Astyanax mexicanus: one gene and its partners. The protein of the gene in region 3 interacts with the protein of the main gene of each other region in a pairwise test. Links are inferred from orthologs where the notes say so. Each region holds a gene or a part of one and is shown on either strand. Other genes may lie near its edges.

Region 1 (7,772 bases), on a different chromosome or scaffold from region 3:
TGTATGCCCCGGTCATCTGCAATTGACTGGGTATTACTGTAATTGTTGTGGTATTACACTCCAGAAGACTTTCGTGCGTAAGAGAAAGCAAAGAATGGTGGCTAGAGTACAGCGTAATGTGAAAGTCGAATTTAACAAAGAAGCATCTTTTTTGGAGAAGCAGGCTGGCAATGGCCATGCACTGATAGACATTCAGCGCAGTCACACAGCAGTGAATCAATGATCCTGTGTCTCACTATTACGCACAACAGACTGCTTTTAAATTGCCACACATGCAAACATGCATTTACACTGTTTTTAACCTACATTCTAGCAACACACTTTTTTAGTCCCATGTAAATTATGCAATTATTTTAATTATTATATCTGCATGCAGTTTAAAAATTTTATTTGATATTAAATATTCCTGTGCAGTGATGAGGCATATAGCCAGTTTTGTTTCGTCTGCAATTTGTCTAAAGCTTGAAACAAGAGACGAACAGGTCTTACAGCATTGCTTTGGCATTAAAGTGATTAATAAAAATATCAGCAGTGTATTAAGAAAATTACCCCGTTAAAGCACCACTAATATCCTCTGGGAACAGGGGAATGCACTGGGAAAAAGTGTAGACATGCATAATTATATTAACGATGCTAATATTTAAAAAAAAATAAAAAAGCAAAAACAAAGTAAAATAAACTAAATAAGTAAATAGTTACATTATCAATAAATAAAACAGGTGCATTTTTGCAGACGTATGCCACATTCTAAATATGCATGTGTATTAGTAGGTTTCTTTGATCATAAAAAGGTCAATCATGTCTTGCAAAATTGCTGTCAATACAAACATTAATGTTTTATGAGGCGTGCATATTTTATGCAAATATTTACTTGCTTAAAAATATGTAAACGGTTCCTTAAAAGTGCTACTGAATATTTCACATGTTACGGTTTGGGGGATATAATGTAATGCAGTCTCAGATTCACTGAGCTGAAGGCTCCTAATTACCATTTAACAGCTCAATGTGCTCATCTCATGCTGACCATCATGTTGCCATTATGTATATGTATATATTTGTATATAGATGCATACAAAAAAATGTTTGTGTTTTTTTCATATAAATCATTTTGTTTAAAAAAAAGTAGCAAGAATGTATACAAATTATTATTTTGCATTTATATAAACAATAATAATTTAGAATGTAAAAAAACAATCATTTAAATATCAGCAACATTATGATCACATTTAAATGTGACCGATTTGTATATTATTGTTTATTATTTTTATTATTATTATTATTATTATTATTTCTAGTATTTCTGTTTTATTATTATTATTATTATTATTATTTTTATTATTATTATTTACATCGTGCGTGTTTAGCGTGTCGGGCAGCGGTTCAGGAATAAAAGTGTGTGTTTCTGATTGTTGTATTTTTATTTGTAGTTTGTGGAGCAGGCGGTGTGTGTGTGTGTATAAGAGTGTGTATGATGAGTGAGTGAGTGTGTACAGCGCCATGCCCTACAGCGGGAGCAGCACCGCTAACCTCAGCGACAACTTCCCAAACTTGTGCTGCTCCAGCAGCCCGGCTCGCTCCTCCCGCTCTGAGCTCCAGCAGCCCGGCTCGCCTTACCGCGGGCCCGCGGCGTGTCAGTAGTGCGGGGTGGGAGCGAGTGTGTGTGACTGTGACTGCGAGTGTCCACGTGTGTGTACAGAAACGGGGTACAGAAATAAAGCCACTTACTGTGCGTGCCGTCGGAGAGAGTGATCCGTTGGGGAGGTAGGGGCTCGTTAGATCGGGGATCATTATAAATGGATAGCCCGGGTACGGGGGGCTCTTGAACAGCCCTCCATCTTGCCTTTTCGCAGCTAACATGGCGGGGGGAAAAGAAGAAAACTTTCTTTTAGGCACCTTCAAATAAACTTTCCGTCTCTCTTTGTGTGTTTGTACTTTTCACAGTAAGGCTACGAGATAGGTTCTCGTGTTATGAAACACAGAGGCTAAAAGAGAGTAAAGAAGTGTGGTGTATTATTTGTGTAGTTAGAGCGGAGAAAAGAGCAGACTCACTCACCCTCCTCTAAACTTTCTCGTGTTTTGTCTCTGAAAGTTTCCGACCTAGGCGGAGGCCGTCTTTCCGCCTTCAAATGCAACCAAACACAGGGACAGCGCTTTAGAAACACGCTGGGAAAAGCGACTTTATTAGTTAGTAAAGTTAGCTAACTAACGTTACCTACGCGGCTTAGCTTTAACTAGCTAGCCGCCACCAAAAACACACACAACAACGGTTGCTAGGTTAACAGTTAAGTTAACATTAACAACAACATTAGCAGCAGAACTAGCAGAAGTGTGTGGAGGAATAATAGTAAAAATATGGAGCTCCGCTCGGATCCTCCACTACTCCACTTTTTACCCGCTTACCTCCGAGTCCGAGGAGCTGTTCTGGTTCGTCTCCGACTCGTTCACAAGAGAAGACTTGACGTCTGCTAAATCCCTTTCTGCAGAAGAGTTCTCCGAGATCTTTTCCTCCTGCTCTCCTTCGTCTTTGAACGAAATCATTTCATCGTTCGCGCCCAGATCGTCCCCTCCACCGCCGTTCAGCTGCGGCATTTTCCCGAGCAATTTTGGGGGGCGAAAAACGCAAAGTTTTTAAAGCCTTGATCTCCGCGATCCCGAATCCCAGAGTCTCTTTTTTTAAGGAGTAGTTTTCAGGGGGTCTGCCCTGGCGTTTCCCGAGCTCTGGCGGCTAGTAGAAAAACTCAAAAAAAGAAGAAGAAGAGGGGGGATCTTGGCAGGAAAAGAAGCCGGAGATGGAGCCGAGGCGCTCGGATTGAGTGAGTTGAAGTTGGTCGGAGTGGTTTTCAGTTCAAAGGCGGCGCTGATTGACAGATAGAGAGGGATGGAAATAGAGAGAGTCTGGATTCGGGATTATTGACAGGGAGAAACACACAAGAAACTAATGAGATTCAAACAGGGAGGGACTTGAAGTGACGTTTTCATAAATAGAGAGGGGCAGGAAAGTATTGGAGGGAGAGAGAGAGAGAGAGAGAGAGAGAGTGTGGGAGAGAGAGGGAGAGAGCGAGAGAGAAAAAAAGGGCTTGAGGAAACGAGCAGTCGAGAGAGAGAGAGCGAGAAAGAGAGAGAGGCTTTAGTTTGAAAAGCAGGGAAGGAAAAGGCAGCTTTGGTGAAGAGCAGCAGAGTTTAGGAGAGTCGCCCTGTTTGCTTTAGTGCTGGAATGGCGGAGCAGGCGGAAGCTGCACAGAAAAAGAGAGAGCGAGAGAGAAAGAAAAAGACTGATAGATAATAAATACACACTCAGCCAGTTTCTAAAACACACACACACGCACTTACTTACTCTCACACACACACACACGGGCGGACTCCTCATACAAAGGAATTAAATTAAATTCGCTTCCTTGTTTTTTTATTATTCCGTTTTAGGAATAAAAAAAAAACTGGGAACTCCTGATTTTAATAATGCAAAACAATGAAATGAATTTGCACACGGTTATATTCATTTATTTAATTAAAACGATACCATTATAGCTAATATATTTTTATTTTTTTTATATATGAAACAAAATACCAAAAAAACAAAATCAAGCTCAATCAATTAAAGGATTCAATAAACAGTTTTAGTTTCTAACAATTTATATCCACAAAATCGTTTTAATTTAGATCATTCAAATTGAATTCCTATTTTGTTATATGTAAATGTTTTTTTTATAAGTATAAAAACAGCAGGTTTCTGAAGGGGTGATGCAGGTAAAGGCATAGAGGCTAGTGCGTGTGTGCTCCTGTTCTATACTGAGCGTGTGGAAAGAGAAGGGGCCGGCAGTGTCCAGATAGACTAATGAGGGCTACCTGCATTCAGGATGAATAAAAGAATAAGGGTCTGGATTCTCTGTGCCCAGCAAAATTGCTTTTTTTCTTGCCAAAAATGTGTTTTAAAAAGTATGTAAATATAAATCATATATAAATGCAGTTGTTCTGTTTTTTTCTTTATTTGTCTCTGTTACATACTGTAGAAAATATCCATAGAATGTCTATAGAATGTCTATATCCATAGAATATCTAACAAATTTGATTAATTGAATTACTGTATTAATGTGATTTTCAAAAAAGGATAATGGAAATTGTACATCTTAAAATATATAAGCTGCTACATGGAATCATAGTACATAAACATTTGCTTCAGTCCGAAACATGTAAAATGTTACATAATTTACACTTGTTCTTAACTAAAATAAAAGGATGTTATGTTTTCACCATGTTTAAAATAAAAGCTGTATGTAAGATTGAAGGGGGTTACTTACTATTTGTAAAATAAATAAATAAAATGTAAAGGATACAATGGCTTGGCCATCAATTTAAATGGTGCGCATATATTCGAAAAATATCAAGATTATTTTGTTTTTACAATATCGCCCAACCCTACTAGACAGTAAATGATTCTAAGCACTTATACAAAATAAAATATGTTTAAATTACATAATACATCGACATCTAAGCCACAAATTAATTAGAACCAACACAACACTATTTGCAAATATTATTTAAAATCATTGTCATTTTTAATCTTTGCCGATTCCATATTTGTTGCATGCTCGCTCTGCCCTATTGCTTGTTGACCCAATCCTTATTGTATTTTGCAAATATAATTCACTCAAACAGAACATTTATCTTTTATGTAATACAGTCAGCACCTCCTACTCGGAGAACCTGTGTCCAGTTTGCTCGAAAGCAACACTGGACTCATCTACACAAACAATAGCAGTCATATGGGCATTAGAGGGCCACAAAGACAGGTTTAACTCCCACTTAATTTGGAGCAGTGTATCATTTCCATTTCTGCCCTTTGGATTGCTCTATGGAGTAATTACCCTGTACCAGCCAACGCTCTTCCAGATCCACAGCAATATGCTATAACAGCCTGTATATACACAGCAATTACGCCTACAGGAGCAGAACAATTGTGCCGCACAATGCATGTGATATTATATAGGTGTTACATCAACACTGTTATATATACACAGTACATTGTTGTATGTATTTGTATTGTGATTGCTTATATAAATACGTAACACCTTTAATTTTGATACAATAAAAAGTATGGGATTTTAGATTGTATTAACAAATAAAACTAGGTTATGTATGCAAGTATAGACACACAAATAAATAAATAAATATCTATATATATATATATATATATATATATATATATATATATATATATATACAGTATCAAGTATTTTACCATTGTTATAAGAAACAAGGAAACATCCCTAAGGAAACAACCCTAAACTTGTATAAATCCTACGCATATTGGAATATAATAATATTCGATTCCAAATTATCACATTTTATATGAGGTAAAAATAAGCAATTAAGTAAAAATAATACAGAACAAAAAAATACAATCTAAAAATAGAGAGAGAGAGAAAGATATATATGGCTTTGATGTGACAGGAATTAGTCACATAATTGTGACACAGTAATTGCATATATCATAAGTATCATAAGTAAACAAAACACACACACACACACACACACACATGACACTTCTCTTGCTTGTTTACTGAAGCAGCATGCTTCGTTTTTCTTGTTTTAATTATGCACCTTCAGCTGTGATAAAAGCCTGAGCCAGAATGGACAGATAAGGCTCAGTGCTCAATGTGTACAGTCAGCAGCAGCAGAAAGATGCTCTCTTGCTTTTTAGCTCAGAAATCTGGAGCCTGCAGATACCAGACCAAAGCAGTGGAGCTCCTAGCCAGCATCTGCCTGGATTGCCTCCACAGGTTACTGAGAGTTCACTCAGATTGGGTGCGTAGTGTCAGCCTTGTGAAGCCAAACCTTTTGCTTTCAGTTGGGCTGAATCTAAACCCGTGGCCATCTCCCAGGTTAGACCTCTGTTAAGCTTTATCTGGATGCCTTTCTGTCTGGAATATGTTCTTAGCACTGGTCCAGCCAGCACTTGAAATTAAAATCTTAATTTTTCTGTTCGACCCCAGGCAAAAAGACTGGCCACTCAGACTTTGATTTTAGCACAGCTGTCCGAATGTCCCCACACACACTGCTCAGAAAACTGGGATGGCACCTGCTGAGCCCTGGTCGCTGGAGTGGGTATTGCAGGAGAGCAGCATAAATCAAGCCAGTATGCAAACAGTTAATTACCCACAATGCCTGCACCTTCCCATACTGCCTGAAAAAGTTCTGTTCTTAATTAGCACATTATGGGTGCTGTTAATGGTCTTCCCGCTTGTTTTCATAGTAACAATATGTGCATTTTAGAAGGCTGTTTAATAGCAACACCAGCCTGATTTATGCCAGATACCCTTTAAGCCAGATGAATAAAACAGTATAAAGTTTTCTGGCTTTCACAAGTGGAACTTGGCATTTAACCTTTTCGCATGTAGTCAATTGCAAATTTCCCTATTGTGAAAGAGGCTCCACTAAGCATTTTAGCATTCTGCCCCAGAAGGGTTCAGATAAATTATATCTGGCGACTAATGCCCTGCATATCTACAGTAATGTTCTCCTAATAGCTTGTTACATTGGGTGTGTGGGGGACAGTAATAGAGCAAATCAGTTTAGCTTTATGTGGTTATGCAAAATTCCTTTTATGATGTGTTTTAAAAGCAAATACAAACCAGAAGCAAGCTAATTTCAGAACCACTTTGAAATCATGTAATTACCATTCTGTTCATTTGTTATTTTGACTAGATTACAGACAATATGGCAGTTCTGATGGCTTCCTTCATATAAATATATTTAACAGAAAGAAAGTTAAAGTTAAAAATGAAAAACAATATGCTTTCCTAGCATCCATTTCTTTCTTAAGGCTATGTCAAACTAATCCGATTTAGAGTTCAGTATGTAAATAATGTTACAAAGATTTTAAACACACTGTTAAGCCTTCAGTCTATGTATCATCATATCTCTCTACCAGCAACCTTACAGGAGAAAGAAAAAAAATCTATGTAAAAAAAATATTCCGTGTTATTTAAAGAATTTATATTGGTTCATTCATTATACAATTTTATACAATGTAAAAACAGTGGTCAGATTCAAATGATTTCAAAAAGTAGACAAAATTGGAAATACATGTTTTTTTCTTTTAAGCATATGAGACTTAAAAATACAGAAAAATACAGCCTGTCTAGAGAAAAGAGGTTTGATTATCATATATAAATTGAAATTTCCACAGTTTTTCTTTACATATGTACATAATAAACATTCTTCAGGAAACAAATGCATTAGAAATTGATAGAATTAAACTTAACGAGGTGGCACAGCCTTGCATCATGTCTAAAGTGTAAATTGACATTCTGAGGTTACATCCAGGGCACTCTACCTCTCTAGACATTCGGTCCGGCCAAGCCTACGTGCCTCGCCCCTGCTGTGTCCAGAACAGTGTATGGTGGGAAATGTATGAAGGAGAGCAGGAAAGCTGCCTCTGTTTTCCAAAACAAACAGCATGCTTTTTCAGACATGGATGTGATGGTCATTAATCAGGGGGCGTTTGGCCAGTAGCAGTATAAACATGTAGCACCTGAGCTGCTGCATCTTAACGGTGAGTGTGTGTCAATGTCTGTGTGTGTGTGTCTGTGTGTATTCATGGCCCTTATTCTCTGTGGTCATATGGAATACTGCAGCCAAGTCACACAGACAGCGAAAAGTCTGCTATCACACCAACCCTACATTACACACAGGATGAACCTGCAACCTCAGGGTTATTTTTCAGTTACACACACAACATCCAGCTGCCTCTATCTCTATCTCTCTCAATAATA
Region 2 (8,016 bases), on a different chromosome or scaffold from region 3:
ATAAAACTTGTTTACAGGGGATAGGGCTTAATTTGGCATAGCGAATAGAGAAAAAACAAACAAAAAAAAGAACTTACAGTGGATTTTGTAATCCTTGTACTGCCTATCCTCAATAGCTGTGACGTAAAGAGTGGCTCTGTCAGGGAAGATCAGCCCGTCAGGTTTCTGTGTGCAAGAAAACAAATATTAACACTTAATTTAGCTTCCTGCACAAATACACCCAAAATATCCTACACATACACAAAGATTGTGAAGCGGGTTTTTGAACGCTTACCAGCCACTTGTCTCTGGCATAGATCACAGTGTTGAGCATGGACTCGTAGAAGAGACAGTAGCCCATCCACTCAGAGATAATGATGTCTACATGCTCCACTGGAAGCTCCACCTCCTCCACCTTGCCCTTGATAATGGTCACAACTGAACAGAGAACACATTCATGAGAATCAAACAGTCACCGCAACTTTGTGTATCTAAAGCAGACATCTATAATGAAATCCTTAAAAAAAAAAAAAAAAAAAAACACGTCCTGCCCTTGGTTCAATTACACACCTTGTAGTTTGTGTAAAATATGAACACTATGAACTAATTTAAAACTGACATGCTGGCCTGGTAAACTGCACTAACAGAGCAATCAGTAACAATTTTTTTACTGTCTCTTATATGACATATGCAGAACCACCAAAATAGAAATACACTTACTATGATCTAGCTTATTGGCCTTGACAATCTTCACAGCGTAGTCAGATATGCTGCTGCACTCAATCTAGAAAATAGACACAAATGTTAGAACACAACTTGTCCATTTAGTAACTTTAACAGAAACAGCAGTGAAAGTTGATTTCACACAAGCAGCGGATTTGTGTCCCAATAAACCAGGCTCAAACATTACATGTGTTTAAAACTGGTTTTCAATGCAGACACTCAAAGGTAACTGTTATATTAGTGTTGGGCAGCATACAGGTTCATACAGTATACCAGAGAGGAATTTAATACAATGTGCTCGTACAAACATGCTTCTCGTTCCCCAGACGAGCCCAGATTTGGTCCTGAGTGTGGGGTCATTAAACTCCCTAAAACTCAGGACACAAGGAAAACCCTATAGCTCTTAAATATATTATGGCTTAAACGTTCATTTTAATACACTGGACTTAATTTGTTTAACTGGAGCAAGGAGGGAACTGTGGCTGATTTCAATACTGTAACACCTCCAATGGCTTCAATAAAAACATTTTAACTTAAACTTATCTTACTCATGCAAGAGCTTTTAAAAAAAATCAATGTTTTAAATACTTCAAAATTGAGTATTTTTAGTCCATTTATAGTGTATAAAACTAAAGTTTAGTTTTGTAATGGAAGCAGGGTTAAAAGTTGTTTGTGTATCTCTTTAAAGACTATGGTGTGCATGCACATTTTCTGTTAATGAGGTGGGACTTTTGTATATTGTGTATACTTTTGTATACATATTTGGTCAAACCACACAGCACAGTTACTTACAGGTTCCTTTAGACACACTTCTAATTATGTTACATTATTGACTTGCACAACAAGAATGTCTACTTACCCCAATAACCTTCTTGGCACCAGCCTTAGCTGCAAACATACACAGGATGCCAGTTCCACTGCCCACATCCAACACCACCTTATCTTTGAACAGATGCTTGTTGTGAAACATGGAGTTTCTGTATGTGAGAGTTCGCACTTCATCTTTAAGCATCTCCTGTAAACACCAAATAAAAGCATTAGAAAACAGGTCGTAAGGTAGGAAATTAAGTCTAAACTATTAAATACTGTACAGTATTGAATACAGGGGTATAACAACAAGAGTACCAACCTCGTGGATGCCAAAGTGAGCATAGGAATCAAAGTAGTAGTCCTTGGACGTCATGTCTTCAGCCGCAGGCTTCTCTGAGCTCTCTCCCTGGGACACCTGGAGAACAAAGGATTAAATAAATACTACATTTAAAACAAAAGCCAAAAGAGTTTCAGCCTGGAGTTTTAAGTAAATTGTGTTTTTGTGGAATTTCGCAAGATAAAAAGAACATAAAAGAACACTTAAGGCCCCCAAAATAATTTTAAATGGAATCAAAACTTAAAAAAAAAAAAAAAAACACACTTAAATTCTTAAATTTAACACCCCACAATGGGTGGCGGACTGGAGAAGTTCACAGGAAAAAGGGGGGCAGACAAAGGCTTTTATCACTAACAGACCAGCACACGTGGTATGTAAAATAAATGAGGCCTGGTCCTACAATAAACCGTACTGTACTCGAGCCTCTGAAAGGGAAACGATCCTAAGAAATCATTTTTGTACCTTTTACAGTAAAGGGGTAAGGCCATGTAGATAAAAAATATGTCCTTAAAATTTAAATTCTCAGTTCCACCTTAAAAAGTACAGAAGTTACATTCTGGCGCCGCTAGCTCCATCTGTAGCAGCTGCGGTGCCATTTAAGGTGGACCGGGGAATTCGCGAGAGGCCACCTTTAGCTTCTATAGCTAAAAAAGGTTACTAGTTATGGTCAGTGGCTAAATCTCAGTAGATAAGCTTTACTACTTCAAAACTAACCAAAAAAAGCTCCAACTTCTAATATCACTTTGGTTAACACATGTAGAAACAACGAGGCGGCGGCGTTAGCTACCCGATCTAAGCTAACTAGCTAAGTTGGCTAACATGCTAACCTAGGTAGATACCCAGCTAGCCAATCCCATGCGTTCTCTATTAGCAGCACAGCTAACCTAGCTAAATAACTATAGACAGAATAGTGATTCATTAATAAATACAAACGGAGCAGTAGATAAAACAAACGGAATGTTTAACAGACGCCATAACCCCACGGCGGTACTGTGTGTTAGCAGATTAGCAACCACGTGTTAGTGGAAATGAATGGGGAGCGATGTGCTGCTAAAATGGATGCTCCTATACGCACATTACCGAGAGCTCAGGTCACTACGCAACGAGCTAATTAGCGAAATAAGCGGGTCAGCGGCTCCGCCACACAGCCTCTACCGAACAAACACGGCCCCTAAGCGCGCTGGGATTTCTCCCACATGAACCGCGGTCTCCCCCTGCCCGTCTTTGTTACGCGGCTCCAGCTCACCTCCATCCTGTCCGTCGTCTCCGCCATTTCGCCGACAAGTTTTGGACTCGCAGCTGCAGCGCGGAACATTAAACGCTCCCCTTTAGACTCCCGCCCACATACTCCGGCTCTCTGATTGGACTGCTGCGATGAAGTACCTCCCAAACTACGCCTTTTCCTCTAAATCCAGTCCCCATTGGCTCTAAATCCAGTCATCATATCGGTAATTGGGCCGCTGTAACGTGACCCCACCCATTGTAACGCCCTTTCTGATAAACCCTGTCGCTATTGGCTCAGTGTGAAGCCATCAACGCCGTGATTCGGGATTGTTTGCGATTCCAGCCCCAGTTCCTGCAGTATTTTCGCTTTTCATGTAAATCCTGACCAGTCCAGGTTTTAAATCCACTGAAGAGTTGTGATTGGACAGCTTTCATGTTGCCCCACCCCCGATAGCTTTTATTCTCATTTGAACGTGCCTTGTTTTTTGGAAGGATATTAATAATAGATACAGTCAGTTTATACATTCAATATCATACAGTAGCAGCAGTACTATGTCTGACATAATCATGCCAGATGAACTTATTTTGTATGTAAACTTAATTTCACTATCAATCAATTAATATGAATTCTTTTCAAATGTTTTGATCTAGTCATGGGTTGTAATTATTGCTTATCATTTGATAAAAAAAATTGTATAATTTTGATTAGAATGAACAAAAAAAAGGCAAATAATACTTTCCCTAATATTTGTGTCCATTCTGGCCAGTAAGACATGAGTTGTGTTCCAATTGCGTACCTACTAGTAGTAACTAGTTTTGGGGTATTTAGTGTGTAGTATAGATAAAAGTTGAGTATACTAAAAAATCTGCCAAAAAAGGAAAAACATAAATTATTTTTAAAAAGTGCCTTATGACTTCACTGCCAGTAAAAACGGGTTTATTTATTAATATTTTTGTGTGCTAACCTGCAAAACTCACACTATTAGGACCAGTATATAGTACATACCTATATTATTATTATGCAGTTCGCAATTGGGACGCACCCTTGGAAAACGCTAGAGGGCGCTCTTGAGTAAATCTAAAAAGAAATATTCCTTTTGTGTAAATTCCTAATTGTTAGATGATTCATCGTTTTTTACACAGGCAGTAGCAGCATATAACGTTTATCACTGACATGTATATAAGTGCTTTTTAACTTACAAAACTCACAAAACTACGTATTCACTTTTTGTAAACATCTTCTCTAATTAATGCATTCAATTACTTTAAGTTGCACCCATTGCTGGAACAAAAAGAGAAAAGTACACACACAGCTTATCTAGTCCCTGTAGAAAAGTTTTGCCAATAGAATAAGCCATCCCTGGACAATAGAGACAGTTACTCAGTTACTAAAAATGGTTGTTTGTGTTTCTACTGTAATACTGCATTAAATATTTTATTGTGCTATTGATATTGATTTGATATTGTTGTAAAATGACAGCACTGCATTGCAGTTACTGTGACAGGGCCTGAAATAAGCAGCTATCTCCCTCCATCGCAGAGTAAAAAGCTGATCAATGATGTCAGATAGAGTGTAGTTGCAATGATTGGTGTTGAGGATGGTGTAAAGTATACAGCAAAGGGAGCAATTGACTTTCCACACAGGGCAGTGGGTATTGCGTAATGATCATATTTATGATACTTCATAGCAAGTGACATTAATCTTCCATAATAAAGTCCACGGTGTGGTGGCACAGTACGTCAGGATGGTTTATTGCAGTGTGCAGTACACTGAGGTTAATGTTCCCAGAGAGCCAGAAAAACAGATGTTCAAGGATAACATGCTAAAAATCTATTTTTTTTATATAATATTGACAAATCTATGATCAAAACTGTGGTAAACCAGTGTGTCAGACATCAGACAGCATACCAAAATCCGTTAACTTTCTGTAAATGAGCTCTTAGAGATGGTTCCTTTCATTTGAACCATATCAAATAACTCAAATACGCTTATTTTCCGCTAGACTATTTGATTATATCATATATAAAATAAATATATTTAATGTAGAAACAAAGCAAGTTTTACTGATCCAGATTCAATTTAAACGAGCTATTAATGTTTTCATAACGGCATTACAAACTATTACCAGCCAATCAGCGTGTGCTGTGGTAGCAGGGGGGCGGAGCTTCTCGAGAGGAAGCACTAGAATCCTTTACTACTGATACTGCTGGAGTGTAGACGAACTTTGATTCAGTTTACCGAACCGATTCTTTCGAATTGCCCGATTCAGTGACTCATTCTCGTTTTTAGGGTGGGAGAGGTCCCGCAATTATTAGCTTGCTTTTTTTGTTTACATTGTGGCAAAAATCAAAATACAGCTGCATGAATCATAAAACGATATTCGTACACATAGATAAAATAAGATTGCAAATAATGTATTAATAAATAATAAAATAATAGATAATCTAAATAATAATAAAATAAAATAAAATAAAAAAACTGAGAAGTTGCAGATATTTAAAAAGTACACGTTATAAACATAAAATAATTAAGTAATGCAATTACATGTAGATTTTAATAGTTTTAAACAAATTGCATCATATACAACACACATTTTTTTACCACAATTTTACTGTGTGGAAAAAAACACAGTGTTTTTTTCTAGTGCATGCTGTGCACGATTAATAAACCAGGGAGCAGACAACATGTATTTAATTTCCTTATGCATGCAATGAATAACAACAACAACACAATATAATATTGTCTTTATTTATTTATCATGCATCTTCGTCTCTTCTTCTTGATGAGAATCGTGGTTCTGGAACCTACGAGTATCACTGAGTGCAAGAAACTAAATAAAAGTATAAATATACTTCTAACATAATGATAACTTAGTTTTGAACACTAAAGTAAACATTATATAGGCTGCCACAGTAAGGATTAATTCACTCTGATTCGGTTCAATGGATTTATTTGCAAATGAACCGATTCTTTCCCGAGTCGGACATCGCTATTCGTTCGTTCTGTCACGAGCCTCGTCCGTGAACACCGACCTGGCGCGGCAGGCACGAAACCGACGACCTCGAACCGAATTCTAGACTACATATTTGTGTTTTTCCAGCTAAATATAAGATTGTTCGCCGAAAAAAACGTTAGGTTTGACCGTCTCCGACCGCGCTGGTCATTCCGGGTGATGTATTCTAACGTTTGATAGCGCTAGCCTGCCAGCTAGCTGGTCCGCTAGCTCGCCGTGCCGTGACTCACAGCGAGCAGAAAGGAGATCAAATATTTTATTTTTTAATCGCTTTCCTCCCTCTCCCGGTGGCTGTTTATGTTGTGTAGGACATCCACTCATCTACAGTGTGTTATAGGAAAACGACCCGCTGTAAATTTGGTTTTACACACCAAGTGACTCAGTCCTGTCGTCGTTTGGGCCAGTAGTTAAATTTTGGACTGTTGGGTTTGAATGAATTTAAACGGCGGCGGTCGGAGCGCAGCGGGTTTCTCGCTTATGAATTGACAGATACATATTTTGAATAAAGAAGCACACAGGCAGAAAGAGAGATAGGTTGTAGACACTTTGACTTTCAGGTCTGGTTATTTCAGCTTTCACACAACTGTGTTAGCAGCTATCGTTAGCTAGGTGGCTAACTCTCTAGCACATTAAACATCCATCAAAAGCGCCAGAGTACGGGTTAGTTAACGTTAGCTTTAGCTAGCTTCTCGGCTAACATAGCTCTAGCTAGTTAGGTAGCTCAGTGGTGCTGTGCTACGAAACGAGCGTATTTTGTGGAAAGCGAGGTGAGCTAAACCGTCGTAGGTCGACAAAAAGTGGTTTATTTTTCGTGTAAGGTGAGAAGAAACAACAAAATCCTGCAAAGATGCCGGCTGTGTCGAAAGGAGACGGAATGCGAGGATTAGCGGTCTTCATATCGGACATAAGAAACTGTAAGTGCCATTTATACTATTAAGAGTGACTGTTTATAGGCCTATAGCTAATATAGAGGGTGTTTATGCTTAAAAAAAACGAAGCATAAGGATAATTTACAGCTGTTAAATAGTTAGCTAATGGTGAAGGTTAGGGAGCTGGTTTTGGTCCAACGCGGGTCTCCCTTGTAGGATGTGTAGATAAGCTAGCTAACTAGCTAGCGCTATCTAGGTGAGCTAGTTAAGTCTAAAGTAGCTATCTGGAAAGCTAACGAGTTAACCTAGCTAAGGAGAGGTCGTTGATTTAGTGTGCGTCCACTCAGGTTACACTGCTTTGGATGTGCTTGATATGATATATGATATTTGAAGGCCCTGCTCACTGTGGATTAGGCTAACTAGCTAGCTACATCCTGGAAATGATCTTCCACAGTTTGCAGAGACATGTAGGTAACGTAGTTAGGCCTCTACGATAAACCCCAGATTCCTCTAGAGATCCAACAGTTACACGTAGCATCTGTTATTAATTTGTCTTTGCCTAAATAAGCCAAGCCTAAAGAGGTCAGTCAGTCAGTCTTGTAGTGGAGACCGGGTCTTGTCTAACCCAAGTCTCTCTTGTGGGATGGGCAGGTAAGGGGGGGGGGGGGGGGTCGCTTCATGTGGGTTCCACCAACATTGCAATGGATGTTCTTGATATGTTGTCTGATATGACATGAAAGGCCCTGCTCAGTGTGGAGTACATCCTGGAAATGATCCTCCACAGTTTGCAGAGGCACGTAGGCTTCTTTTGGAGGCAGGATACAAACATAGCAACTTCATAAGCTGTTTATAATCCAAAAGTAGCCATGCGTTATTATGAAGTTTCATAGTGTTTTAATTTAGCGTAATGGTTTAGGTTTAACCCTGATCTGATTTTGGGATGAGCGTGTAACAAGGGGTCATTGCTCCACGAGAGTTCTACCTACACTGCTTTGGACGTGCTTGATATGATATTTGAATGCCCTGCTTGGTGTGGAATAGGCAAACAAGCTAGCTAGAA
Region 3 (8,368 bases):
GCTGATGCAGCATTGCCGAGCAGCCAGCGCGCTTTGAGGAAAGCGCAGCGGCTCGATCAGCTCACAGACGCCCTATGCTGTGGACATCACCCTAGGAGTGATGTGGGGAGAGAGCACCATCTACCCACCCAGAGGAAGCAGGACCAATTTTTGCTCCCTTTTGAGCGCCGGCAGCTTGATAGCAAAGCTGCATGAGCGAGGGTTTGAACCGGCAACCTCCTGCTCATAGTGGGAGCCTTTAGAACGCTGGACCACTCAACGCCCATATGTTGACTTTTTGATGTACTTTTACTAATTTCTAATGTATCTATTCATTTATGTTCCTTTTTTATATCTGTAATGCTAAAATCATTTTTCCAGTAAACTTTAATATTTAAAATTCTAAACTTCATGGACTCAATTGTCATGGTTTCATGCTCTTGGATTTCTCACATCCGAGTTTTATCCAAGTCATGCTGTGGTAAATTACCCTACAGCTTTTGCCGTTTAAGCCCGGTAAACCATCATGGTACGGGGTCACAGTTCATTTTGCATAAACGCATGCAGACTGCATGATACAGGCAGAAAGTCTACAGAAGGAACTAATGTTCACAGGAATGTTGCACCCATTGCTGTGCTGAAATTATGCCCCGCCATAGGAAATGAATGGTCGCCTGTTGCTTTCCAGTGTGAACGCAGGGTCAGGGGCTCGTACTGTCTCTCTCTCACTCTGTCTCTGAACCACTAGTTATCTGTCTCATTCTCATTTGTGGGGTTCCTCCATCTCTCTTTCTCTATAGTAACATCTTTAGGAAAAATATTTGTAGTTTAGGCAGTTAAAGTAACGCTGTTTTTGTTCCAACAAGATCCAAAAGTTGGAGCCTCTCTTGATGACAGTAGGAGAGAACCATGGTTTCAAGCATTTAATAAAAGTGCTCAAGACCCGTTACAACATTCCATCCCAAAAAACAAAACATGGTTATATTGAAATTCCATTGTTATCACAAACATAATAAAAGAGAGGCTATACAGAACGCCCAGCCTCTTTATTTTTTCCACCATAAATACCGAAAACATACAGAACCCCTAATAGCAGCCCAAAAAAGTAGGCCTTTTTTGTTGCAATCGTTACTTTGTTGTGGTGCACATTTTTATTACTTAAGAGTATTGCATTTTCATATGTTATTACTCATATTTTTTTCATTTAATGGATTTAATTTATTTGATTATTTATTTTATTGTTTATATCTAGGCTGTTCCAAATTAAAACATATACTTAATGTGTTTAAATCCTTAATCGAGTCTCTAAATGTATTAAAAGACAAAACAAAAAAGATTACTTTAATTAAATTTAAAAAAGGAAAATTAAAAACATTGTGTGGGTTGTTTACAATACTCTAAATTGAATTGTACCACAGTACCACCGATCCTGCAATGTTATTGGCGATGGGCTGAGAGGTGTTCTGTGAGTGCCATTATCAGCCGGTAATGCACTGTCACCGAGGCTCTCCATGTATTACTCCGCCACATACAGGTAACCTAGCAACAATGCAGAGCTTACAAGCCAAACAGCACAGCTAGAAACAGAGCAGCAATGGAACTCTTTTAACTCTGAGTGTCTATAACCAAACAGATCATATTTTCTCATCCTCTCTAACTCAGTCTTTCAGTAAACAGTGATAACATAACTGTGGTATAATTGGCATAATACACGTTCTTGCTAGAACATGTAATACTGGCACCGCTGTGCTGATCTAACAGGCCAATAGAACACATTATAGCACTCCCTTTTGTGCATTATTGCTGAATCCTCATCATAAGAATTTTATAAAGGAGCACTAAACAAACATTTTGGATAAAAAAAAAAAACTGTACAAAAGACTAAGAAAGTTAAAATGTAAACAGCAAGGGTGTAGATAAAGGTTAATTAAACTACATAACAAAAGAGAAAAAAAGAAAAGATTCCATGGGCCATTAAAGCAGCTCTGAGGTCATTACATTTTATTACCTTCAATACTGATAAGTCCTATTCAAACTGGTTTCGTTTCACTGAACAGTGGCAATCATTTTTATGTCTAATTCACATTTATAGGTCTGATTCTTTAACAAAAAAACAAGCTTAAACCCATACACCTACCTCTCCAAAGAGTTTCTCGTTCTCTACTTTCAGGACATGGCCTTCCTTCTTTGCAGTACTGAAAGGTGACTGTGTGATGTGTGTTGGCTTTAACTCTTGGTCTTTAGATGGAGTGGACCCTCGAAACCTTTGAAGACGTAATGTAGATGTGGAAGGTTCTTCGGCTTCATCATCATCGAGGATCACAATGCTGTCCATCGTGTTTGTGACACCTACCACAGTTAATGACATGTTAGGTAAGGAAAACTGTTGAGCAGCGTAAGAAAAATAGGAGCATTAGAACTGGATTCAAACAAAGTATACATTCCTTTTTATATTCAGTCTTAACACACAATTTACTCTGATGCTGCTGGAAACACATTTAAGGCCGAGCTACTGTTTTTCCTGTCATTACCCCAAGCCCTTAATAATATTAGATTTTAAGAAGATCGAAATACCTTAACTAGTTAGCTAACCTAGGGTGTGCCTTAAGTTTAACATTAATAGTCTTGATAGTTATTTCCGTCAAGAAAGACTTAAGTTACACCTAGCTACAGCCAACTAGTTTAGTTAGTTAACGAACCTTGCTAACTAAACAACTAACTACCAAATTTTGGCAAAATAACATAACTGCACCTTTAGAATTTTGATGAACACAGCGATAAAAAGTGCTCTTAGTGACTCTTGGCGTTTTGAGGTTACAGAATTAACTTAGTAAGGTTCACTCAGTCTTATAAAACTAGACAGCTAATAATGGTAGCTAGGAACGAGCCCCGCGCAGCTAAACTAGTTTCGCTAACTAGTTTAAACTATATAATAGGGAATAAACTGAGACAGCCAATTAACTTCACCATGTAATTTAGGCTAAACATGAGTACGTGGCACTTACTGCCTCAGCTACGTCTCTATTATAACGCTAGGTTAACGCTAAATAGTAAAAGGAAGCTGTTTAAACTGGCGTTGGTGTCTCCATTAGCTAGTTAGCTTCCTCGTTGTAGTTAGCTAGCTGATAGTTAGCTAGCAGGCTAACCTCCTGTCTGTTTAAAACCCTCACACTTAACGTTACTCCTAGTTGATAACTAATCAGTAAACTACACTGTTGGCGGATATTATACGGTATATTAAAAGCCATACAGCCGGTCCTCACCACCCATAAACACACATTATACTCATAGTGAACACGCTGGAACAAGAAGGCAACTTACGCGCTCGATTCTGCTGTATTTAACAACTCGCTAGGTTGCCAGGTCTTTGTGACAAATCCCGCCTTCAGACAAGCAAAAATAACTGACTCTTAGAGGAGTTACAGAAACCGCGCAGTAACACAGACCCTCCACTGAACACTGCTCTTTTTTCTTGCTTTCCTGACGAGCGTTCTCGTTTCACGCAGCTTTATCCGATGGAGGTTCTTAATTCAGTATTTATTCCTGTAGAAAATTCCGCCTAAAAACCATCATGGCAACACCGCGCGCACTCGTGAACAACGGGCCCCCGCGGTTCGGTCCGCGCCGCTCCGCTCCTACGGGATTGGCTGCTCCAGTTTTCTTCAGCCGGTTTTCCTCCGCGTTCAGCGGGACTTGCTCCTCACTGTCGCCCCATCTGGAGCGGAGGAGTCAGAGCCGGTGTTCTGTCGAGTTGTGCCGCCTTGCCAAACCGCGCTACCCTAGCGTATATTTTAACCGTAAAAATACAAAAGAAGCAGAAGTATCCAGCAGAAGTATCTACCCAGTAGATGTAGCTAGTATATTTAGAATAAATCACCGTATCATGGTAAAGATATGGCAGTGAGTGCTCATTTCAAAATTCTTTTGTATTTTTTTATAATAATAATTAATTCAATAATACAATAATAATTATAGTATTTATTATTATCAATTTCCATTTACACTTTCGTGCAATGACAGTGAGTCCAAGTGGTTTCATGCGCAAAAAATGCACAAAAAAGATTTGTTATATAAAAAAAAAACACAAGAAAGAATCAAAACGCGTGGGTAAGCGCGTGCGTAGTGCCTTTAGGAAACACGTATGGATGGGTATCATAACTCGACAGAACACCTGTTCTACACCTGTTACGGAAAGCCTGCACGCTGCCTATCTATGGGTGACCGATGTTAACAAAAGTACACATATCTCGATAATCTCTGTAATTTTAACGATCTGTAATTTAAACAATATTTTGCAATTTTTTAAAATGAGTTTGTAAAAGTAATATAATGTACTAGCCTGCACATCTTAAAGGATAATAATAATTATGTAATTGCTTTACTAAATATATGAACGGAAACAATATGTTTAAGGCATTTTTTTATTTACTTTTTTATTTCAAATATCACACAGTGCACGTGTGTAAACCATGTGGCCTATCAAATTTCCTTAAAGAGGCACTAAACCGTAAACCATTTTTCTATTACTAGCTGAAATGTGTTCAGTTGAAGTAATTCTTATTTTTTTATAAACCTTAAAACTTAAAAACTTAAAAAAAAAAAAAGCGCTTTTATTGCGGCCATTTCCGTGTCTGCAGTACCCTCTCAGGTTCAACTGTGCTATTGGCAAAGATGATGTTTCCATGTACTTTGGTATGCAAACAATCACAATAAGCAGATAAGACAATTAATTATACCGCTCCATCTGGGTCTCACCACTATCAGAGGAACACTGCTGCTGCAGCTCAGCCAATCAGCTCACCCTCCTGCCCTGCCTCTAAACCCATAAATCACCCAGTACCCCTCCCAAACTACCCCTCCCATTTTACTAATTTGAGCCGAGGGTGGAGTCAGCTCAATTCCGGGGGTTTAGTGAACCCCTCATTTTATAGGTATTTAAATGTAATTAAACGAATTAGCATTTGATTGGCAAAATTTTATTATATTTATATCAGTGGTGTAACTCATCTAAAAAAATGTATTAATCACCACAGTATTCTATGATTAATCATAATTAAAATCAATATTTATACTTGCCCATATTTTTGAGTGGAAGAAAGTAAAGTAACAGTGCAGTGGGTTAGGTCTGGCAGACTTTTTTAAATAAGTACTTATGAGAGTGAGAGATCGGGTGTGAGAAATGAGAGAGAGTCTTTAGCACAGTGACTCTGTTGAAGAAAAAGAAAATGTGGTTGTAAATAGCAGATAGTTGGATAGGTAGCTTGCTGGATTAGTATCTGCGCTCAGCCATGCCAATAAACAAGACAGCATCAGTCTATAGCAAATGTGCGAAGTACAGGTGTTTTGATTGTTTTCCCTAGTAATTAGCACAATCGATAACGTTATGCTGGAGCAATTACGATATTATCATAGACAATATTTATATGACACCCCTATTTCTGTTTCCTTCGTTTTAATTATAAATAACTGTAAACCGCCAGGGGGCACCTGTGAGTGAGTCTTCAGTAAATGAAAGTGAAGGTGAACTGAATGGCAAAAAACATATCAAAGTTTTATGTATTAAGTTCAGTGGTGTCAATCTTTCAAAACAATTTAATTCGATTAATAACAACAATATTCCAGGATTAACTGTCTTTAATCGCACTTGTTCTTCTTAAGAATAACATTTTTATAGTGGATATTTAAATGTAAATAAAGAAATGAATGTAGGAAATATAAAATGCAATTATATGTATATTAGTGGTGTCAATTTCTAGTATATTTTTGTATGTTTGAGGGGAGATAAAACCAATTTGTGTACTTTATTGTAAACATTTCTGTGTAGTTTAAAAATCTCAGGAAGTGTTTGGTATTACACACATGCTCACAATGGGGGATGAGCATTTAAATGGCCTGGGTAAAATATGTGACGTCCAGTATTCAGTAATGTATACACTGTCCATTTAAGAGACTCTTAAGTTAAATGCGTGGCACATGAGAAGATTCTGTGTTACAGTGCGTATATCTGTTCAGTGTGAAGCTGCTTTAACACAGAATGCTGAAAATGTGCCGCTGCACTTTCAAACACAGTGTTTTTAATGGGACAAGCAGCATAGATGTCCTTGTAGTATCTTTAAAAAGATTTTTATCCAGTGTCCAAAATCTAGAACTCTTACATCATACTACTGCTATATACACTATTGTTAATAGAACCAAGATGGACAGTAACAAATAAACAAAATGGACATTTTATTTTAAGTCAGCAATTACTGCTTAGGTGATGAGCAACATGCTTATTTATTTATACTATGTATTTGAAAATTAGTTCTATATTAGATGTAAAACTTTTTTAAATGTTTTGATACTGAAGTTGAGTAAACGTGACAAGAGACATTTGGTACAAGCCTACAAACTTAGAGTAATTATTTAAATTTACCCTGGGTGCATATAATTCATATAATAATTCATTTAATAATTCGTTTTCATATGACTTAGTCATGTAAGACTTCAGAAGCTTGGAATACACCAGTAGTCACACATTTATTTTCAACTTGTGCATCACAGCTCTTACACACATTAACAAACAGGGGTTAAAATAAACGATGAACAGGTAAAAAAAAATTAAAATTTATACAGTCATTTTCAGAGGATTCATGACATGGTATTTCAAAAGATAAAAGAAAAGAAAACTTACAATATATTTACTTAATTAATCATCAACCAATAAAACCCAAACAGGTCTAAATGAAACAAAAAAAATAAAATAAAACAAAATTCAGAAAAGACATAAAGACACCTTTTCCCATTATTTTAAAATACCACAACACTATCTCAGTGTTTATTCACAATCTGGATCATGAACCAAGCACAAAAATATCAGTATAATCATTTTAAAGAGATGGTGTACTTTTTTACTGTGGCTTCTATCATCATCTGCATAAACATAAGTTCTAATCAAGACATCCAGGAAGACATTTTCAGCACTGCGATTACTTGTCCTTCTAAAAACAAACAAAAACACAACCAGTTAATACATGCCAGTCATACATGCTATATGAAGGGTGCTATATTTATGATTATCAAACAGATCAAGTAGTGTAAAACTCAGAAATTACCTTATCCCCTGATTCTTGTGCTTTGGAAGACCCTGACATTGGTAGAGAATTAAAAACAAAGAATTAGCTTTGAATAGTACCCCCAAGGATGGAAAAAACAATGCATGCTAACACAGTTAATAGTAAAAAAGTATTTAGAGACACTGACTTTACCTGAACCTCTATCAGTATAGCATCTATTTAAATCTTCTTTAGTAGGACACATTATGCATGCAAGGACTGCACTTTGCACTTTTAGACAAAATGTAGCTTACCTGAAGATGTGAAGGTCCAGAAAAACACCTTTATTACACCATAAAGCACAAGGGCTACAGCAACCATTGCCATAGAGTCCTCTATGGAAGGAGCACCAACACCTGAAAAACAACAACAAAAAATATTTCACAAATGTGTAAGTAAATTCAAAGTCATTACATCTTGCTTCTGACAAATACTATCACATAGAATTTTACCCAGCAATGACAGCATGATGAGCGAAAAGGCATTGTCACTCACCAACGACATTCAGTGTCACACTAGCTCGTCTAAACCCTCCTTTGTGATCGGCCACGCAGCTGACCTCACCACCACGTCCGAGCCCAAGCTTGCTGGAGTCCAGCTCTATACGAGTGCTCTGGCTGTAGGTACCATCAGATGCCTGCCTGTGGCCCGACACACTGCCCTGTCCAAGGGACCGCTTCTTACCATCAGCTCCAGTAAACTCCCAGCCAAGCTCCAGAGAAAGAGGAGCAAAACCAGAGGCCTCACAGTGCACTGACACCACCTGCCCAGGGGCGGAGATGGGAAGAGGGGATGGGTAGATGCCAAGAGACGGAGGCTCTGAAAAGGGAAGAGATTGATAATAGAAATTCAATTAAATTATATGTGTTTTTCTATGTATTCCAATGCTGCCAACCAACTCAGTTGTGATTATGCAAGGAGAAATATATACTATATTATTATATCTTACCCTATTATATTTTATCCCTATTATATCAAAATTTTGGATTATGCATGATAAATAAATTATATTGGTAGAAATACACCAGTTTTCAGATATTTTGCCGATTTTCCACCACTGCATAAATTACAAAACATAAATGTATTATTGTCTTGCTTTTCAAAAATATGTCAAATTTTACTATACATTATTAGGTCCTTTAACCTAATTTTGGTTGCCAATTATTCAGTGCATCCCTAATATTGGTAGGTAAGTAGTGGAAAATACCAACAGTTTTTAAAAATGCAAGAAAAAATATTTCTTTTGTATTAAGCAGCAAAAAAAACAAACATGTGATGCCCTGTGATCTGACTTC
Region 4 (7,383 bases), on a different chromosome or scaffold from region 3:
ATCTACTGGAGTATTATTTTTACTACACTACTGTACTTAATTACTAAAATGCTCTATCTGTATCTACTGAACTATTATTTTTACTTCACTACTGTGTACTTAAGTACTAAAATGCTGTATCTGTAACTACTGGAGTATTATTTTTGCTTCACTACTGTACTTAATTACTAAAATGATGTATCTGTATCTACTGGAGTATTATTTTTACTTCACTACTGTGTACTTAAGTACTAGAATGCTGTATCTGTATCTACTGGAGTATTATTTTTACTTCACTACTGTACTTAAGTACTTAAATACTGTATCTGTATCTACTGGAGTATTATTTTTACTTCACTACTGTACTTAAGTACTAAAATTATGTATCTGTATCTACATAGCTGAGCGAATCAAGCCATGATCTTATAAGCTGCTGTCTGTCTGCAATATGATATTTAAACATTTGACTTTCTGTAATAACTACATAACACATTACTGTACTTTCACATTCAGTACTACAGTACTATTCGTACATTTTAGAATACTTTAGTACAAAAAAATATACTTTCTACAGTATACTTAAAGGTACTTCCACTTAGTTGTGGTTGCTTAAAGAGCTCTTTAACTTCTTTGATCGAACACTTTTTTTACTCAGATCTGGGTCTTTACTATTGTATACATGTCTGCTTTGAGGCACCACTTTAGCATTGTGCTAACTACATGTGCAACAGTAACAATACAAGCTTTCACCACACTGTATATCAGGGTCAATATCAATATAATGTGCCTTTTTTATCTTAGCATAATTGTTTAAATTTCATACAAACACTGTGTAACACTACCTTTTTCAGAATTTAAAACTTTGACTCTGAATGATTGATAGATAGATAGATAGATAGATAGATAGATAGATAGATAGATAGATAGATAGATAGATAGATAGATAGATAGATAGATAGATAGATAGATAGATAGATAGATAGATAGATACTTTATTGATCCCGAAGGAAATTTAGCAGCCAGTAGCAGTTACACAACACAGTCGAAACAAACAGTACACAGTAGAAACAAACAATAAGTATTATAAAATAAAATAAAAGAGCACAGTGAGGAATATAAGACTCTAAACTATAAAATTATAAACTGAGACTTAAAAATATATACATAAATATATAAATACAAAAAAACTATACAAAGTGTGAAAGTAATCAGTCATAGATATGAGGTAGTGCAGTAAAATAATAATTTAAGTATAGAAGGTATCAGCAGATATGACAATATTAAACATAAACCTGTGCAAGTATTGAATTTAAGTAAGGTGCGTAGTGTAGTGTCCAGGAGTGCAAAAGTACAGGATGTACAGTAAAGTGACAAAGTGTCCAGGGGTGCAAATGTACAAGATGTACAGTAAAGTGTCCAGGAGTGAAAAGGTACAGAGTGTACAGTAAAGTGCCAAGTGTCCAGGGATGCAAATGAACAGCACATGAGCACATTATTACAAATATAGAGGAATGGTAATCTCCACATAATCAGAAGTTATTTATATATTTTCTACAGTTTTTGATACAATTTTATATATGTAGGATTTTGCCATCTCCACAGGGCAGCCAGGTCATGAACATATTTTTTAAGTATGTTTTTGTATAGTGAATCTGATTGTGGTTGGATGAGAAGTATAAACATGTACCATTCCAAAACCCTGTTGGTTTTAGCAGGTATCCAATCAGAAGTCATATTTTTGTATCGAGACAACACCAGTAGGAGGAAGTTGTGAAATTGGTAAAATACATACTGTACTAAATACAGGTAGGCCTCACTAGTAAAAAAAAAAAACCTGAAACTCATTTCAGATGCTCACTACTGTCTCTGCTTGGCCTTGGAAAGTGCCTGTGCATCATAACCAGCGCCGCAGCAGCCAAGACAAAGTTGAGTGTACGTGGTGGATGCATCTGCTGTGGCTAATTCCACGCCGCCGTCCTGCGCAGATGGTTCAGCGGGTGAATTTGCATCGTCAGTGTTTCGCAGCCTAATCCGGGGCCTTCACAGGTTACCTGGTTTACAAGCAACTTTAATAGGCGTTTTGCATACTATAAGCTCCTTATATAAAGGCAGGGTGGGGTGGAGGGGGCAGAAATAAATAAATAAAGCCTATGTTTAGGGAAATGAGCTGATGTGGAGCGGCGCGGTGGGCTCGCAGAGATCCCAGCTGCATATGCTGGTAAATCGCTGCTGCCTGCTGGATTTGGGCACGGGCACAGTGTGAGCAGGCCGCTGCCAGAACCCCACGCTTCGGTCTAATCTGCTGCTGTATAGCACTGTGGTCTGGTGCCTATATGGGCGACTGAGCATCTGTCTGTCTGTGTGTGTGTGTGTGTGTGTGTGAAGCGTGCAGAGCCATGCTAAACATGGGAAAGGTGCCTCTACAATTTTACAGAGAGAAGGAGTGAGGAAGTTTCTTTTTGAACATTCAGAAATACTGGATGAATATTATATATATTTTTTTATTTATATGATTGAGTGCTAATTGTGTCTAAATTTACTGTTTTTGTGATGTTGCATGTATCGGCATATTCGGTATAAAGCACTATAGGTATCCGATATACACATTCACACTAAGAAAAATAAGTACAGATTTGCACTTAAAAGCTTGTCGATGGGGCTGTACCTTATATTAAAGGAGAACTCCAGTGTAAAATTGACTTTAGGTGTAGTAAAACATGATAAACCACCACCGCTCTCCTACAGCTTTCTGAGCGCTGGTAATTTTGTGCTTTTCCCCAGCACTCTAATCTTTACTGGTATAAAAAAAACATGTACAAAAAAGACCTCACTGAAAGATACTCTATTGTACTTTAAAGGAGAACTCCCACTGCCCACCACCGCTCTCCTACAGCTTCCTACAGTTTCCAGCACTCTGTACAAGAGCCGTATCGGGGCATATTTCGGCTCTATACCTCCTTGGTAGAATCCGGAAAGCCCTAACATTTAAAATGTGGCATTAATAATTAAAAAGTGCACAAGAAGCAGCTCAGAGTGCTGCCATCACTGTAGTATATATATATATATATACATTCATAGCCTGCCTCCTGGAACCGGCTGCTACGCTATGCAGAGTATATGTATATATATGTCTGTCATTATCAGTACAGTGATGGCAGCGCTCGGAGCTGAAGCTAGCATTATGCGATGTATACAGTGTTTTTTTGGGCTTCTTGTGCACTTTTTTCAACTTTTCAAGGTATTAATGCCTTATTTTAAATGTCAAGGCTCTCCAAGGATCTAAAAATAATTAGAAGAAGTTCATAAGAATTTCATCATAATGTGATTTACTGATTGATTTAAATCTTAAAGTTAACTAAACAGTAAGCCTACAGTTCATAAACCACAGTTTTAAATACTGCCAATTCATTTAGAACTGATTTGAAAGCAGGACCTGTTTTATATCATAGCCTGCACTGCACTCTGGTGGTCAGATTTTTGGTGGTCTGGTGGTCGGAAATAAACCACAGGACTCATCTTCCCTGTATTAAAAGAGAAATAATATATATATGTTACAACCTTTAAATTAACCTATAATAATAATAATAATAATAATAATAATAATAATAATAATAATAATAATAATAATAATAATAATAATAATAATAATTAAGAAAGCACTCGTCAAATAAAAAAAAAGCAAAATAATTTCTTAAAATGTTCTAGTGACTTGAAAAAAAATGGCGAAATTATGTATAGAGTAAACTGAATCTGAAATGTCTCCATTCAAGTTGCCATATGATAAATTATGTCATTATACGTCAAATTAGGTATATCAGTCATTTTAATCGACAACCAACTACGGATGTCAGACCAAAATAGCTTACTATAATAACATTTAACAAATAAATGTATAGATTCTGTCTCTCCAGAGCAAAAAGTACAGGAGCCCGTCTGAATTTTGAATCTTTTATATATAAGGTCATTAACAGGGTTATTGTACTGCTGTTACAATTTTATAGTTTTTTTTTTAACGTTGGGAGTATTAGGACATGATAAATATTGTTTAAAACCCGTATTAACTAGCATTTGTATAGTAGAATATTGGGCCTAATTTCTACTATTAACCTCAAACATCTGAGGGACTTTTGTCTTGCCCATGTGTTTTTCCATTCTCCCGGAAGACAGGACTTTTATTTTGTTTAGAGAAGCTTCAGCCCACTTCTTTGCTCTGTTCTCTGTAGGGGAGACTGCTCTGCTGAAGCATGGCTGCTAAACGGGCTCTGGTGATTCTGTCGAAGGGCGCAGAGGAGATGGAGACGGTTATACCTGTAGATGTGATGCGGAGAGCTGGGGTTAGTAGAAGCTTAGCTTAGCTTAGCTTAGCTTAGCTGTCAGGGCTGTCTAATAGCACTGGGTGCTAACACAAGTGGGGAATAGCCACTGCAAGAATATTTAAACTGATTATTTAAGTGCAATATAAGTGAATAAGCTTTAATAAAAATATTTGGATTGTGTCAAAAGTGATAAACATAAATAAAGGCTTTGTATAGGATTTTTTCCCGTTCCACCTTAAATGGTGAAGCGGTTACGTTCACCATTTAACCCAGAACGTAACACCATTTAAGGTGGAACGGAACATTTCCACAAACCAAAATACTCTGTGAAGCATTTGGCTGGACTATTTATTATTAAGGTAGCTGTTAACTTGCAGTTTCTCAGGCTGGTAACTCTGATTAACTCTTGCTATTCCTTTCCTGGGATGGTCCTGATGAGTGCCACTTCCATCATCATAACATTTTTAATAGTCTTTGCAACGACTGCACTTGAGGATATTTTCTTGAGAATAAGTTCTTGAAATATTTCAAATTGACTTACCTTCATTTCTTCTTGAAGCCATTTTTAAGCAAGTCTTTTCTTAGTTGAGTAGTTCCTGCTTCTCATAATATGAATTAGAACATTACTTAAACAGCTGTTAACTTTACTTAAAAGCCTAAATTCCAGGTGACTCTATCTCATAAACCTGACTGTGCAAAGCTGTGCCCACATCAAATGTTCCACCTTTTTTAAAAGAGTGGACGGCATGGCATAGCAATAATAATCATTGACTAACCAATTCTGGCTTTGTGATTGGCTTCAGTCTAAAATGATTGACATGTCCTCTGCCCTTTGCTTACGCCCACTGGCTCTCTGGCCTGCACCAGAGGTGTTCAGTCAATGCAACTGCATGAGATTTCATAGTAACAGAACAAGGAATCGTCTGTTCCTGTGATGCACATAATATTTTCTTTTTCCATTGCGATGCATTGTTACACCCCTGTTATTTGAAGACCTAGCTGGTCAACCTGAATGCCAACATGAAGCCCAAGTATGTCCATAAGAAATCAAATAGTGCTTACTGCATAGACAATGCTGTTTAACCAATTTGCTTACCATAATAGAGTGTATTTTAGACTGGATCAACCGTATTTCAACCATTTTGACCATCAAATGCCAGCATAGACCATCTTAACCTAGATACTAGAAGAAAGACAAGCGTGTGTCCAATATAAAATGTATCAGGTCACAAAAACAGACCCATGTCTGTCAGTTTCTGGCTCACAGACTGACTGTATGTACTCTGGACAGTTGGCAGAGTGTGGAAGAGGAGTGGAGTGTAGCTAAATGTCAAAGTTTGCTGCTGCTGCTGTCATGGTGAGATAGGCTTTCATTTACAGTGCAACTTAGCCTCCTTCATTAAACTACATATAAATAAGCATGAAGGGCTCTTCAGGGTATTAATCAAGGATATTAACAGTCTTTGACACAAACTTTTCTGCAGTTCCATGCATCCAGAAAGGCTTTGCACTTGACACTCAGTGTTTACTTTAATTTTACTGTATTATTTAAGTATCAAAGACAATACACATTAATTGGCTAATTGTCATTTGCAGTCCATGGGCAGATAGATATTATATAAGAGGATCAGTCTCACAAAGCACTTGCGTTCAACACAATTTAAAATTACAAATAGGCCGGTCACGATAAGAATTCACAGAAATTATTGCGCTACACGATATTTTTGTAATTTTAAGACTATTAAATGCCCCTGACATAACAGAATAGCATAAAAAAAGCAATTATACACTTTTTAAAGACAACACAATTTGAATTAATCATTTAATACAGGGGTGTCCAAACTTTTTTTGTTGGGGGCCAGAAGGAGAAATATATGTGAAGTCACAGGCCACAGACTCTGTAATAAAACAAATAATGAAATATACCACTTTAAATAATAAATTTTCCTGATTACTTTCATTTACACACCATTTTACTTGACTTACTATCTTTATCTATCTTTGACAGTGTTGTGTAAACTAAGATTTTTCAAATTGTTCTTTCATTTCATGATGTCTCTTAATATTAAACTCCTTAATTACGGCAACTTTTAGACCCTTTTGCCCTTTTTCTGCGCTACAACTGTGCACTCTCTGAAGTCACGGTTATTGAGGCATGACAAAATACTGTTCACTGTTATATATATATAAATATGTTTATGCTTCTACCTCTTTTACTGTCTCACAGATTGCTGTTACAGTGGCAGGATTAACAGGGAAGGAACCAGTCCAGTGCAGCCGGGACGTCCTTATCTGCCCAGATTCAAGTCTAGAGGAAGCCTCTAAACAGGTACGAATTTCTTAAATTCCATTGTAATCCATTGTACTGTACTCTGGACAGTATTGCATTTACTAATGATAATGTTTGAGATTTTCAAATGGAATTTCACTCTTTTTAATACCTCTATATAAGTGGATCACATAGCTGTAAACAAAAAATTAACTTGCAGTGGTTTAATGTGAAATGACGATTCAAAATGATCAGAAGCATTTATAAGGGTAACTAGTGGTGGGTGATATGGTCCTAAAATAATATCGCGATATTTCATGGTATTTTCACGATAACGATACTCCTGGTGATATAACAAAACACTGCGTTAAAAAAAATAAAATGTTTCAAGAATACACCACTGAAACAAAATTAAAAAATTATTGTATTAATGCATATGCTATGGCACACCCCTAACTGAGATTTAAACTGAGAATTTTATCAAATATGTAACAGAACACAATGATCCAGAATGTTAATGTACTAAAAATGCACTCCAAATATATCTCCATATATCCAGGACTAAAGTAAAATAAATTATACTGGACAGATATAATCTGTTTCTTGTAGATATATAATGTTAAAAGAGAACAGTTATTTATTTCTTTATTTTTTTTGATAAAACAGCAAAAAGTAGTACCATGATGTGATAATTAGGGGTGAGTGATATGGTGCGATATTTCAGGGTATACTATCATTCACAATGTTCAAAAATGTTGGCGATATTATCGTGTATGATACGATATGGCACACCCCTAAGGGTAACGAGGTAAATCTGAA

What was found.
Region 1: the proteins of daxx (region 3) and tcf7l2 interact in binary tests that used the Homo sapiens proteins (3 or more experiments, as listed by UniProt). The link is inferred for Astyanax mexicanus from reciprocal best matches to the Homo sapiens genes DAXX and TCF7L2.
Region 2: the proteins of daxx (region 3) and prmt1 interact in a two-hybrid assay, tested with the Homo sapiens proteins (2 studies listed by BioGRID and IntAct). The link is inferred for Astyanax mexicanus from reciprocal best matches to the Homo sapiens genes DAXX and PRMT1.
Region 4: the proteins of daxx (region 3) and park7 interact in binary tests that used the Homo sapiens proteins (3 or more experiments, as listed by UniProt). The link is inferred for Astyanax mexicanus from reciprocal best matches to the Homo sapiens genes DAXX and PARK7.

The regions. Positions count from the first base shown.
Region 1 is NC_064422.1:31,930,890-31,938,661, forward strand, and holds the start of tcf7l2 (transcription factor 7-like 2), read right to left. Parts: upstream 3,209-7,772; 5' UTR 2,590-3,208; coding exon 2,401-2,589; intron 2,121-2,400; coding exon 2,054-2,120; intron 1,851-2,053; coding exon 1,726-1,850; intron 1-1,725. UniProt on the Homo sapiens protein: Participates in the Wnt signaling pathway and modulates MYC expression by binding to its promoter in a sequence-specific manner. Acts as a repressor in the absence of CTNNB1, and as activator in its presence.
Region 2 is NC_064426.1:20,248,499-20,256,514, reverse strand, and holds the start of prmt1 (protein arginine N-methyltransferase 1), read right to left. Parts: upstream 3,252-8,016; 5' UTR 3,165-3,251; coding exon 3,096-3,164; intron 1,928-3,095; coding exon 1,832-1,927; intron 1,718-1,831; coding exon 1,562-1,717; intron 764-1,561; coding exon 700-763; intron 418-699; coding exon 275-417; intron 166-274; coding exon 78-165; intron 1-77. Other genes in the region: ap2a1 (AP-2 complex subunit alpha-2), read left to right, coding at 6,935-7,001. UniProt on the Homo sapiens protein: Arginine methyltransferase that methylates (mono and asymmetric dimethylation) the guanidino nitrogens of arginyl residues present in proteins such as ESR1, histone H2, H3 and H4, FMR1, ILF3, HNRNPA1, HNRNPD, NFATC2IP, SUPT5H, TAF15, EWS, HABP4, SERBP1, RBM15, FOXO1, CHTOP, MAP3K5/ASK1, MICU1 and NPRL2.
Region 3 is NC_064410.1:22,184,160-22,192,527, reverse strand, and holds the start of daxx (death domain-associated protein 6), read right to left. Parts: upstream 3,265-8,368; 5' UTR 3,250-3,264; coding exon 3,243-3,249; intron 2,329-3,242; coding exon 2,117-2,328; intron 1-2,116. Other genes in the region: tapbp.1 (TAP binding protein (tapasin), tandem duplicate 1), read right to left, coding at 6,948-6,959, 7,074-7,105, 7,328-7,429, 7,569-7,892. UniProt on the Homo sapiens protein: Transcription corepressor known to repress transcriptional potential of several sumoylated transcription factors. Down-regulates basal and activated transcription.
Region 4 is NC_064431.1:4,261,751-4,269,133, reverse strand, and holds the start of park7 (Parkinson disease protein 7 homolog), read left to right. Parts: upstream 1-4,151; 5' UTR 4,152-4,223; coding exon 4,224-4,313; intron 4,314-6,522; coding exon 6,523-6,624; intron 6,625-7,383. UniProt on the Homo sapiens protein: Multifunctional protein with controversial molecular function which plays an important role in cell protection against oxidative stress and cell death acting as oxidative stress sensor and redox-sensitive chaperone and protease.